Linked DNA regions of Macaca fascicularis. The protein of the gene in region 2 binds, or shares a complex with, the protein of the main gene of each other region. Links are inferred from orthologs where the notes say so. Each region holds a gene or a part of one and is shown on either strand. Other genes may lie near its edges. The genes, in order: ECSIT, COA1 and NDUFAF1.

The links.
Region 1: COA1 (region 2) and ECSIT share a complex: the UniProt entries of both Homo sapiens proteins name them as parts of the mitochondrial complex. The link is inferred for Macaca fascicularis from reciprocal best matches to the Homo sapiens genes COA1 and ECSIT.
Region 3: COA1 (region 2) and NDUFAF1 share a complex: the UniProt entries of both Homo sapiens proteins name them as parts of the mitochondrial complex. The link is inferred for Macaca fascicularis from reciprocal best matches to the Homo sapiens genes COA1 and NDUFAF1.

What each region holds. Positions count from the first base shown.
Region 1 is NC_088393.1:12,072,401-12,076,262, forward strand, and holds the end of ECSIT (evolutionarily conserved signaling intermediate in Toll pathway, mitochondrial), read right to left. Parts: intron 2,774-3,862; coding exon 2,716-2,773; intron 2,587-2,715; coding exon 2,438-2,586; intron 2,295-2,437; coding exon 2,189-2,294; intron 1,174-2,188; coding exon 932-1,173; 3' UTR 828-931; downstream 1-827. Other genes in the region: ZNF653 (zinc finger protein 653), read right to left, coding at 216-514.
Region 2 is NC_088377.1:86,523,996-86,528,494, reverse strand, and holds the start of COA1 (cytochrome c oxidase assembly factor 1 homolog), read right to left. Parts: upstream 2,861-4,499; 5' UTR 2,813-2,860; coding exon 2,794-2,812; intron 1-2,793. UniProt on the Homo sapiens protein: Component of the MITRAC (mitochondrial translation regulation assembly intermediate of cytochrome c oxidase complex) complex, that regulates cytochrome c oxidase assembly.
Region 3 is NC_088381.1:17,949,273-17,953,994, forward strand, and holds the start of NDUFAF1 (complex I intermediate-associated protein 30, mitochondrial), read right to left. Parts: upstream 2,829-4,722; 5' UTR 2,773-2,828; exon of another isoform or gene 2,472-2,772; intron 1-2,471. UniProt on the Homo sapiens protein: As part of the MCIA complex, involved in the assembly of the mitochondrial complex I.

The DNA.
Region 1 (3,862 bases), on a different chromosome or scaffold from region 2:
GTGCATCCTAGGATTGGGCAGTCGAAACGATGGGAGGCGGGGCCACGAGCCAGGCGCGTCCCGGCCTGGCAGTCGGAGACCCAGGCCGGCGGTCCGGCTCCTGGGCGGGGCCCGCAGGTGCCGGGGGCAGGGCCTCAAGGCGGAGGGGCGGGGCAAAGCCCGGCAGGGGCTGGGGGCATCTCCTCCCTCCCTCCTTTGGGGCCAGGCCCCCTCACCCGTGGCGGCCGCTTCGCTGGCCGCGCTCCAGAGAGATGAGGTAGGCGGCGAGCTTGGCGTCGCTCCAGCCGCTGCGGCGCCGCAGGTCCACCCAGGGCCCGTGCGCCTCGCCCAGGTACACGCGCCGCACGTCGTACTTCTTCCGGGACTCGAGCCGTCGCCGGGCCCGGTCCGACTCCGTGAGTCGCGGCCGGCCCCGCGCCTTTCGGCCCGCTGCGCCCTCCTCGGCTGCTGCCTCCCCGCCCGCGCCCGCCTCAGCCTCCGCCTCCGCCTCGGGCTCCGGCGCCCGCTCCGCCATCCCCCCCACCTTGGTTACCAGCCTCCCCCGTTGTTAGGAGCCGGACCGGAAGTGGCGCGCATCTTCAGCGCCGCCGAGAAATTTCTCACGGTCTCTCGCTGCCCTGGGGCGCCAAAAGGAGACTAAGAACGGAAACTGCGCATGTGCACAACCAACAGCGCCCCCACCCCTTTTTGATTAAACTTTCTAACTTCGCTTGAAGGGGGAGAACCAGAAGAGCCTGCAGATCCTGGAGGGGTCTCGCCTGCCCATCGCTGGCAGCCTGAGATCCTGGGGAGGGAATGCTACACTGCCAGAGAGGAGGGAAGGGAGCCCCAAGCAGGAAAACATTTATTTGCTGTACACTCAAAGGGCATCTCATGCCTTCAGTCCACCGCCGCCTCGGGCCACAGCCTGTGCCCTCACGCCCGCTCAGACTCAGCTCTGGCCCTGCTGCTGTCGCTGCCGGCTGTCGTCTTCCTCGTGGTCCTCGGGCGGGGGCGGTTCCTCCAGCCCTGCAGAGGATGTGTGGAGCTCCCCGGTGGCCCGGGTCAGGCGGAAGACCACGGGGATCTGGGCCAGAGTTGGATTGGTCTCCTGCAGGCCCTGGATCCACTTGGCCAGCGTCGCCTGGTCATGGGCACCCGCCATGCACATGGCGAAGACAGGGCCTTCCTCCACTGTTGGAAGAGATACACCCTCAGGATTTGCACAGTGGGGGCTGCAGCGGCTAACCCATGCCTACACCTTTTTGAGGTATTTTACACTCCCTTCCACTTTCTTTTTTGTTTGAGATGGAGTCTCGCTGTGTCGCCCAGGCCGGAGTGCAGTGGCGAGATCTCGGCTCACTGCAACTTCCGCCTCCCAGGTTCAAGTGATTCTCCTGCCTTGGCCTCCAGAGGAGCTGGGACTACAGGCGCACAGCACCACGCCCGGCTAATTTTTAAATTTTTAGTAGAGATGGGGTTTCACTATGTTGGCCAGACTGGTCTCAAATTCCTGACCTCAAATGATCCACCCGTCTCAGCCTCCCAAAGTGCTGGGATTACAGGCCTGAGCCACTGCACCCGGCTTCCTTCCACTTTCTTGTGCCTCCAAACCTTTGCACAAGCTAGCCCTGCTGCCTAGGCTGCCCACTCCACACTTCACCCAAGCGATGCCTCCTGGGTCTTCTAGATTCTGCTAGGAAGCCCTCCTGACCTCCCACTCAAGGCACGTTCCTCTCCTAAGCTCCCCAAAGTGTAATTTGCCTGTTCCCTTACTGACTCAAGGGACTAGGTTTGCCCTGGTGACACCCAGTAGCCAGCACAGAGGTGTGGAGGGAGGGAATGACCAAGGGCCGACAGGGCTGAGTGGCCTGAGGTCTGGAGCCCCTGAGGCAAATGAGAGTGTGTGGCGGGAGGATGAGGGGGTAAGTGGACTGCATCTCAGCCTGGGCCTACTCCTTGACCCCAGAGGCCGCCCCTCATCCTGGGTGGTGTTTGGAATGTTTGGAAGTCCTGCCTGTCCAGGTTTTTGCCTTTTTTTTTTTTTTCTTTTTTTTTAAGAGACAGGGTCTATCACGCAGGCCAGAGTGCAGTGGCTCAATCATAATTCACTGCAACCTCAGCTCCCAGGCTCAAGTGATCCTCCCACCTCAGCCTGTCGGAGGGCTGAGATTACAGGCACACCCACCGCACCAGGCCCAGTTTCTACCTTCATTGATGTCAAACTCGTAGTCATCCCAGCCACTCCTCGAATACTCCAGGTCCAGCTGCATCGGGTAATAGAGGTTCCACTCCTCCGGGGTCTCTTCCACTTCCTACTCCAAAGAGGGGAGTGCAGGCAGGAGGGTCAGAGGCCGGGGCTCTCGTAGTCTCCCTCCCCCAGCCTCTCCCATGCACCCTCAGGGTGGTGCCAGCCCCACTCCCCAGGCCCGACACATGCTTTGCTTTAAGCCCTCACCCTCTCCTCCGGGGGCAGCAAGTCAGCTCTGAGGATGTGGTAATACACACACTTGTTTCGGAGCCACAGGGAGAAGGGGCCCTCGACAAAGATGGGCCGGGCAGGGTTGTGGCGGGCCAGGGCAGCCTGCTGATCGGGACTCTGGATTCCTGGTGTGGAGATATACATGCCCTGTGCCCTGTGAGGGACTCTGCCCAAAGGCTCAGGGAGCCCAGCTTAGGTCCAGCAGGGCCTGGGTCAGGTTAGAGACCTGGCCGCCCCTATGCTTGCGGACTTACCTACGATGTGGGGCTGGGGGGGATCTGCTGCACCTGTTGAGTCTTTGGGCAAAGGAACCTGCAAGGGAAAGTAGGGATGTAATCTTGTAACCCCCAATCCCCTACAGAGGAACTGGAGACAGAGAAACAGAAAGGGGGATATCAGCGAATTTAGGACACCTTTCCTGGATCTGGTACATGGTCCTCCAACCTGTCCCCTTGTCCCTCTGTCCCATTTGGCAATAGCCACCAACCTTTAGGATGCTCACCCTGAGGGAACCACCCTGGAGCCAGCCCACATGTGTCAAAATCCTGACTCTGTCACAAGCTATGTGACCTCGGCCAAGTCACTGTACCTGTGTGCCTCAGTTTTTTCAGATGCACAATAGGGATGATAATAGCACTTAATTCCAATTATTATTATTTTTTTGTTTTTTTTGAGACGGAGTCTCGCTCTGTCGCCCAGGCTGGAGTGCAGTGGTGCGATCTCAGCTCACTGCAAGCTCCGCCTCCCGGGTTCCCGCCATTCTCCTGCCTCAGCCTCCCGAGTAGCTGGGACTACAGGCGCCCGCCACCTCGCCCGGCTAATTTTTTTGTATTTTTTTAGTAGAGACGGGGTTTCACCGTGTTAGCCAGGATGGTCTCGATCTCCTGACCTTGTGATCCACCCGTCTCGGCCTCCCAAAGTGCTGGGATTACAGGCTTGAGCCACCGCGCCCGGCTTTTTTTTTCTTTTATAGAGATGGGGTCTCCCTCTCTGTCATCCATGTTGGAGTACGGTGGCACGATCATAGTTCACTGTAGGCCTGAACTCCTGGGCTCAAGTGATCTTCCCACCTCAGTTTCCCAAGTAGCTTGGTCTAAGGGTGTACACCACTATGCCCCGCTAATTTTTTTAAATTTTTTTATTTTTGAGATGGAGTTTTTCTCTTGTTGCTCAGGCTGGAGTGCAGTGGCGTGATCTTGACTCACTATAGCCTCCGCCTCCTGGGTTCAAGCTATTCTCCTGCCTCAGCCTCCCGAGTAGCTGGGACTACAGGCACCTGCCACCACGCCCGGCTAATTTTTTGTATTTTTAGTAGAGATAGGGTTTTGCTATGTTGGCCTGGCTGGTCTCAAACTCCTGGCCTCAGGTGATCCGCCTGCCTTGGCCTCCCAAAGCACTAGG
Region 2 (4,499 bases):
AGGTTGCAGTAAGCTGAGATCACACCATTGCACTCCAGTCTGGGTACCAAAGCGAAACTCCATCTCAAAAAAAAAAAAAATATATATATATATATATATATATACACACACACACACACATATGTATATAACTACTACTGCCTTTTAACCAATAAAATTTTTAAAAAATTACAATGTTAACAGGATTTTATAAAACTAATTTTTCCAACACGCCCCAAACAATACAGAACACAATAGTTACACTCAACCTCTGCATACATTAAATCTTCAAATAAATACCTGCTAGTATGAAAAAAGTACCTAATATTTGGTGACCAACTGTCCAATATGGCTCTCACAAATCTAATGCAGTATATGAAACATGAACAAGAGAATAAAAGAATAACTTCTTAGAGTCTGTTTAAAGTAGAGAGTTAAATGAACAAAGTTGAAGCAGATCATGGCATATTTTTCGAGGCAGAGAGACAGGGAGGCACCAATGTCTGAAACAATGAACACTATTAGGCTAAACATAACACCAGGGACTCAGATGTCACACTAACTGGGAAGTACTATGTCAGTTTCTCTAACTCCTATAATTAAAGAACAATATTCTAAACTACTGGCCAGAAGGCTTTTAGAGGAAAAGTCCTGACTACACAAAAATGTAAAACAACAGTATAGTAAAAAAGATAAAACAAAGTTAACTAAATAGATTGAAGATATCTGCCACATACCTAACAGTCAATGGCTTAATATTCCTGCATGAAGAAACTCCTAAAAATCAATAAAGACAGATAAAACTCAATACGCAATGGCAAATTACAAAGTTTCCCCTTGCTTCATTTTTCGAGTCTTAAAACACTCCTCACAGGTTCTTTCACAGCATTTTTCCTGGGCCTGGCCTCCCATGTAGCTGTCGGAAAACCATCACTCTCTAAACTACAATCACACACCCACAAGGAGGTCTCCAAGGCTACTAAAAGTTAATCTCATGTGCTTTTCATCTAAAAGAACGGTAGCATAATCTAAAAGACTGTCACATATCTGATAAATGACTTGTATCTAGAATATATAAAGAACTCTTGCAACTCAATTACAAAAAAGAACCTAATTTAAAAATGGGCAAAGGATCTGAGCAGACATTTCTCCAAAGAAGATACATAAATGGGCAATAAGCACTTGAAAAGATGCTCAACATCATTAGCCATCAGGGAAACGCGATTTGAAACCACAATATTTTCAAAAAGTTAGGAGATTTTTAATGGTTGCAACACAAAGAAAAGATGAATGTTTGAGGTGATGGACATGCTAATTATCTCATTTGATCATTACACATTGTATACATTTATCAAAATAACATTCTGTAGTCCCTAAATATGTACAATTACTACATGTCAACGAAACAAAAAATGAAAACACGATGACACACACTTCACACCCACTAGAATGGCCAGAATCAGAAAGACAGATAATGACAAGTGTTGGCAAGGAGTGAGAAATCAAAACCCTAATACACTACTGGTGAGAATGTTAAAAAGATGCACACTGATGCTTTGGAAAACAGTCTGACCGTTTCTTAAAATGTTAAACAGAGATACCATATGACCCAGCCATTTCACTCCTAGGCACATATGCAAGAGAAATGAAAACATGGTATGTCCACACAAAAACCTGTAGGTGAATGTTCACAGCAGCATTATACATAATAGCCAAAAGGTGGAAACAATCCAAACGTCCACTAACTAATGGAAAATAAATCGTGGTAATACCTATAAAATAAAAGATTAACCAGCAATTAAAGAAGTACTGACACATGCTATTAAATACAACACAGACGAACATGAATGTTAAGTAAAAGAAGCCAGCTGAAAAAGACCACATGCTGTATGATTTCACTCACATGAATAATCCAGAACAGTCAAATATACAGTCAGTCAATTCATAGTTGCTTAGGGCTTAGAATGGGGAGTGGGGATGGGGAAGTCAGGTGAGCCTGCTGAATCAGTACAGGGTTTCTTTTTGGAGTGATGAAAATGTTCGAAAATTGTTCCAATATGGCTCTCACAAACTGAATGCAGCACATTAAACATGAACAAAAGAATACAAGAATAACTTACTGCAGTCTGTCTGAAATAGACTTAATAAAATTAAACCAACTAATGAAGTTGAAGAAGATTACAGCATATTTTGTGATGATGGTTGTACAACCTTGTGAATGTACTAATTACTTTTAGGTTTGGTTTTTTGTTTTTTATTTTTTATTTTTTTTTTGAGACGGAGTCTAGCTCTGACGCCCAGGCTGGAGTGCAGCGGCGCGATCTCAGCTCACCGCAAGCTCCGCCTCCCGGGTTCATACCATCCTCCTGCCTCAGCCTCCTGAGTAGCTGAGACTACAGGCGCCAGCCACCACGCCCGGCTAATTTTTTGTATTTTTAGTGGAGACGGGGTTTCACCGTGTTAGCCAGAATGGTCTCGATCTCCTGACCTCGTGATCCGCCCACCTCAGCCTCCCAAAGTGCTGGGATTACAGGCGTGAGCCACCGCTACATTTTAAATGGTGAATTCTATGGTGGGTGAACTATGTGTCAGAAAGTTGTTTTATTTTTTTAAAGGACTGAAGACTTTTGTTTTGTTTTGTTTTCATTTTATCCCGTTTTTTAAAACAGTGCCTAGCAATATTATGAATTCAATCGATTTTGGCTAAATGTTAAAACAAAAATAAAAACTTGGGTAAACCATATGAAACTTTGCCGTATCTAAAGTTATTAAATTACTGTAAACTGGCATGGTGGGAGCATAATATGAGTGTACCTGCAGGTGTGTTTTCCATGAAAGTAGCAAAGACTGAAAAATTCAGCAGAATCAAGACCCCGAAGGCCCCTTAAGTTAGGCTAAGAAATGTGTATTATCCTGAAGGCAACGGGAAGTCCAGGAAGATTCTGAGGACAGAAATAACACAATCAGATATGTTTTAAACGTGCAAGTGTAAGCGAAGAGTTGCTACTTCTATCCAAAAGTGAGGCACCATTTCCCCCAGGGGAAAATGGGAAGGAATTAGGGGAAGACTGGAGAAACAGGTTATCAAATTATCAGAATCTCCATAGATTTTTAAAAATTACACAGCATCCACCCCAAACACACATACAGACTGACAGGCACTGATACATACATCCAATGTCCCCTACACAGAAACTCACTTTTGTAGTCAGCTCCTGTTGGTAGGGTTTTTCTGTCATTCAAGTGTGGCGGGGACAAAAAGTATTATAACCACTAAACCAGATAATTCTTTCCTACAATAATGTGGGCAGCGTACTCCCCAGGTGTTGAAATTTAGTACTACCAACAAAAGTACCCAGTCCCAACTCTTCGAGAGGACCCCAACTCTTTACAGTGTGCTGTTGGGGATGCCCAGCAAAAACTGCAGGACAAAGTCAACGTTAGCTCGACACAGTCTCCTAACTCCAAGCGGACGGAGCCAGCGCGGGTTACCAGGAGCCAAAGAAGCAGCGCAGGGAGGTCGCGACCCGGAGCCGGCGCGAACCTCCGCGATGTGACCCGTGAGGGAACTCTCCAAGCAGCAGAGCACCCCGCGCGCGAAGGCGGCCGCCCGGATTGCAGGAACAAACGCTTCTCGCTGGCGGGGGAAGACGGAGACTCTTACTGCCGCAGGAGACTAACCTGTGAGCAACAGAACCACCACGCTGTGGAGAGTGAGCAGTTCTTCCAGGCGTGGGGGGAGCACGGGTAAATGACCGCGGTACGGCGCGCCAGCGGGGAGCAGTCGAGACTTCCGGCGTCTGCAGCTCGCAGGGCTAGAGCGTCGAATCGGGGCAACCGGAGGCTTCAGCTCACACCGGATTGTAAATGCTAACGCGGGTCTTCGGGCCGGCGGATCCAGGACTTAGGTCGCCGGGACTTGTGGCTTCTGCTTCTCAGACGTTCGGACTCGCGCTGGGAAGGGGTTCGCCTCCCCTGGTCCCCGCTTTTTTTTTTTTTTTTCTGCGTCCGGTTATTGCAAATGCATTCAGTCCAGTAGCACTAACCCAGGAAATTTAAGCACCGGCTCACGTTATTTCTCGCAGGTATGTGGCGCTTCCGCTGGCCTCTAAGGACACAAAGCCCCGGGCCGTCTGACCCCCACTCCAGCACTGAAATCCATGCCGCCCCGTTCAGCTGACAAATTTGGCAGCACTAAATTTTATTTTATTCTACAAATTGAGTGCCCAGTTAACACCAGGGAGTACCGGGGTAAGAAAATTTCAGAAGTCAGGTGGATAATAATAGCATTTACCTCATAAGTTTGTTATGAGGATGTAAAGCGCTTAGAATAGTGTCTGGCACTTTGTAGGCGCTCAGTGAATGTTAGCTATTATTTTTTTTTTTTTTTTTTTTTTTTTTTTTTTTTTTGAGACGGAGTCTCGCTCTGTCGCCCAGGCTGGAGTGCCCTGGCCGGATCTCAGCTCACTGCAAGCTCCGCCTCCCAGGTTCACACCATTCTCCCGCCTCAGCCTCCCGAG
Region 3 (4,722 bases), on a different chromosome or scaffold from region 2:
AAAAAAAAAAAAAATTAGCTGGGAATGGTGCTGGGCACCTGTAACCCCACCTACTCGGAGGGCAGAGGCAGGAGAATCACTTGAACCTGGGAGGCAGAGGCTGCAATGAGCCAAGACTGCGCCATCGCACTCCAGCCTGGGCAACAAAAGTGAAACTCCGTCTCAAAAAAATACATATACAAAAATTAGCTGGGTGTGGTGGCAGGTACCTATAGCATGGTGGCAGGCACCTATAATCCCAGCTACTTGGGAGGCTGAAGCAGGAGAATCGCTTGAACCCAGGAGTGGGAGGTTGCAGTGAGCCAAGATCAGGTCACTGCACTCCAGCCTGGGTGACAGAGCAAGACTCTGTCTAAAAAATAAACAAATAAATAAATAAATAAAAATAAAAAATTGTAAGACCAGGCGCAGTGGCTTATGCCTGTAATCCCGACACTTTGGGAGGCCAAGGCGGGTGGATGACAAGGTCAGGAGTTCGAGGCCAGCTTGACCAACATGGAGAAACCCCATCTCTACTAAAAATACAAAATTAGCCGGGTGTGGTGGTGCATGACTGTAATCCCAGCTACTCAGGAGGCTGAGGCAGGAGAATCGCATGAACCCAGGAGGTGGAGGTTGTGGTGAGCCAAGATCACGCCATTGCACTCCAGCCTGGACCACAAGAGCAAAACTCCATCTAAAAAAAAAAAAAAGATAGAGATGAGGTCTTGCTAGGTTGCTCAGACTGGTCTCCAGCTCCTGGGTTCAAGTGATCCTCCTGCCTCAGCCTCTGGAGTACCTGGGATTACAGGCATGAGCCACTGCACCTGATGAATACTACTCCCAATACTTTTTTTTTTTTTTTTTTTTTTTTGAGACAGAGTCTCACTCTGTAACCCAGGCTGGAGTGTGGTGGCGCGATCTCAGCTCACTGAAGCTCCACCTCCCGGGTTCACGCCATTCTCCTGCCTCAGCCTCCCAAGTAGCTGAGACTACAGGTACCCAACACCACACCTGGCTAATTTTTTTTTTTCTTTTTTGTATTTTTAGTAGAGACGGGGTTTCACCGTGTTAGCCAGGATGGTCTCAATCTCCTGACCACGTGATCCGCCTGCCTTGGCCTCCCAAAGTGCTGGGATTACAGGCGTGAGCCATAGCGCCCAGCCCACTCCTAATACTTTCAAATCACCCTGATATATATTATCTCATGCCATCCACACACAAATCCTATGAAGTCAGGTAGACATTTCCTTTCTATAGGATACAGACACCAATAGGTAAAATGACATTATCCATTTTTTTTTTTTTTTTTTTTGAGACAGAGTCTTGCTCTGTCACCAGGCTGGATATCTTGGCTCACCACAATCTCCGCCTCCTGGGTTCAAGCAATTCTCTTGTCTCAGCCTCCAGAGTAGCAGGGATTACAGACCGGCGCCACCATGCCTGGCTAATTTTAATTTTTGTTTTTTGTTTTTTTTTCAGTAGAGATGAGGTTTCGCCGTGTTGGCCAGACTGGTCTTGAACTCCTGACCTCAGGTGATGCGCCCATGTGGGCCTCCCAAAGTGCTGGGATTACAGGCATCAGCCACCACGCCCGACCTTTTTTTTTTTTTTTTTTTGAGATGGAGTCTGGCTCTGTCACCCAGGCTGGAGTGCAATGGCACGATCTTGGCTCACTGCAACCTCTGCCTCCCGGGTTCAAGTGCTTCTCCTGCCTCTGCTTCCCGAGTAGCTGAGATTACAGGTGCCCACCACCACGACCAGCTTTTTTTTTTTTTTAAGACAGAGTCCAGCTTTGTCACCCAAGTTGGAGTGCAGTTGCGCGATCTCGGCTCACTGTAACCTCCACCTCCTGGTTTCAAGCAATTCTCTTGCCTGAGCCGCTGGAATTACAGGTGTGCGCCACCACTCCCAGCTAATTTTTGTATTTTTAGTAGAGACAGGGTTTCACCATGTTGGCCAAGCTGGTCTCGAACTCCTGACCTCAAGTGATCCGCCCACCTTGGCCTCCCAAAGTGCTGGGATTACAGGCGTGAGCCACCGCGCCCAGCCGACATTATCAATAAGGTTTGCTAATAAATCAAAATCATGTAAACAGTATGTTTTCACATGTATTATAAACGTAAAGGAACCAGGAAAAATTAACAGTTGATCTGAGATCCTGCAATTATGGATAATATTTAAATTCCCCCGCGCCGGTTGCACTTAAATGATTTACACATTTAAGTTACAAAATTATTTACCTCTACACATACAGAAATTTTAGAAACAAATGATAGCTCATAAAATATTTTGCAAACCCTCCGTAGTGTTATTTCTCTAGTAATATAACTTTAATTATAAATGCTTTGTTTCATTTTTTTTTTCTACCAGTAAATAGAAAATCTAACCTATTAACTGAACAATACCGCCCTGAGGTTGACGGTGGGTTTTGACAACATAATCCACGCAGCTAGAAGTGAGTCGAATTAGTAAAGATATCCACGGCTTACCATGTGCCAGAAACTGCTCTAAGGGTTTCACTGACGGCTCACAACAATCCTCAGAGAGGAACTATTATTATTTCAATTATGGAGACGAGGAAACCGACGTTTCAAGACTAATTTACCCGAGGTCACTGAGGTAGTGAGTGGCAAAACTCTTCCGCCTTGGCGTTTACCTCCGGCACTCACGGCCTGGCCTCCGAAGGCTAGACCTTCGCCGCGGTGGGGAGGCCCCGCAACCCTCAACTGCCAGGGCTCTGTCGCCTCCCCACACCCGGGACACATCAAACGCCGACCTACCACCGCTTACCTCCCCGAGCCTATGGTGTGGCTTCCAACCAGAAGCCACTTTTCACTTATAGGTCCATCTGTTTTTCCCTTCCGATGCCAAACAAGGCGTCAGAACACTAAAGTTCCGGCCGGGTACAGAAGCCCAGGAAGGAGAGCAAGGACCCGGTAGTCCAGCCAACTGAGGTTTTTGGAGGTTTTTGGTCCACTTGGTCGCCAGTTGTAAGGAAGTAGTGAGGATTCGGATAAGTTTTTCGCCTCTCCTTTCTGTATCCTTTCGGGCGGCAACTCTATCTCTGCGTCTTTTTTTTTTTTGAGACGGAGTCTCTGTCGCTAGGCTGAGTGCAGTGGCACCGTCTCGGCTCACTACAACTTCCGCCTCCCGGGTTCGAGCGATTCTCCTGCCTCAACCTCCCGAGTAGTTGGGATTACAGGTGTACGCCATCAAGCCCGGCTAATTTTTTTATTTTTAGTAGAGGCGGGGTTTCACCATGTTGGCCAGGATGATCTCGATCACCTGACCTCGTGATCCACCCGCCTCAGCCTCCCAAAGTGCTGAGATTACAGGCGTGAGCCACCGCGCCCCGCCTCCTATAGAACCCAGTTATTGCTAACGCACCTGCGCCCCCACTTGGCGCCTGTATCCCTTCTTTCCTTATCTGTCCCCTCAGTCTCCACAAGAACTACCTGAGGCCTCAAGAGGCCGGTTCTACTGGAATTGCCCCCATGAATTCTTGAGGACCCACCATGCACCTGGACAGCAGCACCTCCTACCAGCCCTTCCCCAGTCCTGCCCCACAGGGTCGCCAGTTCCTCAGGCCATCTGTTTGTACCTTGTGCACACCTCTGGTAAAGCACTTTCTTTTTTCTTTTTTTTTCTTTCTTTTTTTTTTTTTTTTTTTTTTTTTTTGAGACGGTGGAGCCTCACTCTGTTGCCCAGGCTGGAGTGCAGTGGCGCGATCTGCAACCTCCGACTCCTGGGTTGGAACAGTTCTCCTGCCTCAGCCTCCCGAGTAGCTGGGATTACAGGTGTGTGCCACCACACCCGGCTAATTTTTGTATTTTTAGTAAAGACAGGGTTTCGCCATGTTGGCCAGGCTGGTCTTGAACTCCTGACCTCATGATCCACCCACCTCGGCCTCCCAAAGTGCTGGTATTACAGGCGTAAGCCACCGTGCCAGGCCAAAGCACTTAAACATTGTTTGTTTGGTTTTTTTTCTTGCTGCCAGGGAAGACAGAATCAACACTGTAGCTTAATTATTCACTCACTTCTCACTTCCTCCGCCACGCTGTGAGCTTTCTTGGGTCCAGACTGCGCTGTTTTTCCTTAAGCAGAATGTCCCATAGCGGCGGGAATTTAGTGCTCAGTGTGAATTTGAGAGCATGTACTTCGGTAACACCTTTGTTCTCTAAGGTTCCAAAGGAGCTCGCCAAAACAATAGCCCTTTCCATGTTTTCTCCATCACTAGTTTCTGGGCCGCCTCCTCTTCCTCAAATTCTGCTTGGCTTCTCTAGACTCTACAGTTGCTTCCTCAAACCTTCCCTTTCTGCCCCCATCACTGACTCTTCTATTATCTTCCCACAACCTTTAATGCGGGCTGTCTCCATGGCCCATCCTGCACCTACTTGTTTTCTAGTTTGAAAAATATAAGTTATCGGCCAGGCGCGATGACTCACGCCTGTAATCCCAGCACTTTGGGAGGCCGAGGCGGGCGGATTGCAAGGTCAGGAGATCGAGACCATCCTGGCTAACACGATGAAACCCCGTCTCTACTAAAAATACAAAAATTAGCTGGGCGTGGTGGCGGGCGCCTGTAGTCCCAGCTACTCAGGAGGCTGAGGCAGGAGAATGGTGTGAACCCGGGAGATGGAGCTTGCAGTGAGCGAGATCATGCCACTGCACTCCAGCCTGGGCACACAGAGCGTGACTCCGTCTCAACACCACCACCAACAACAAAAACTCGAAATGTCT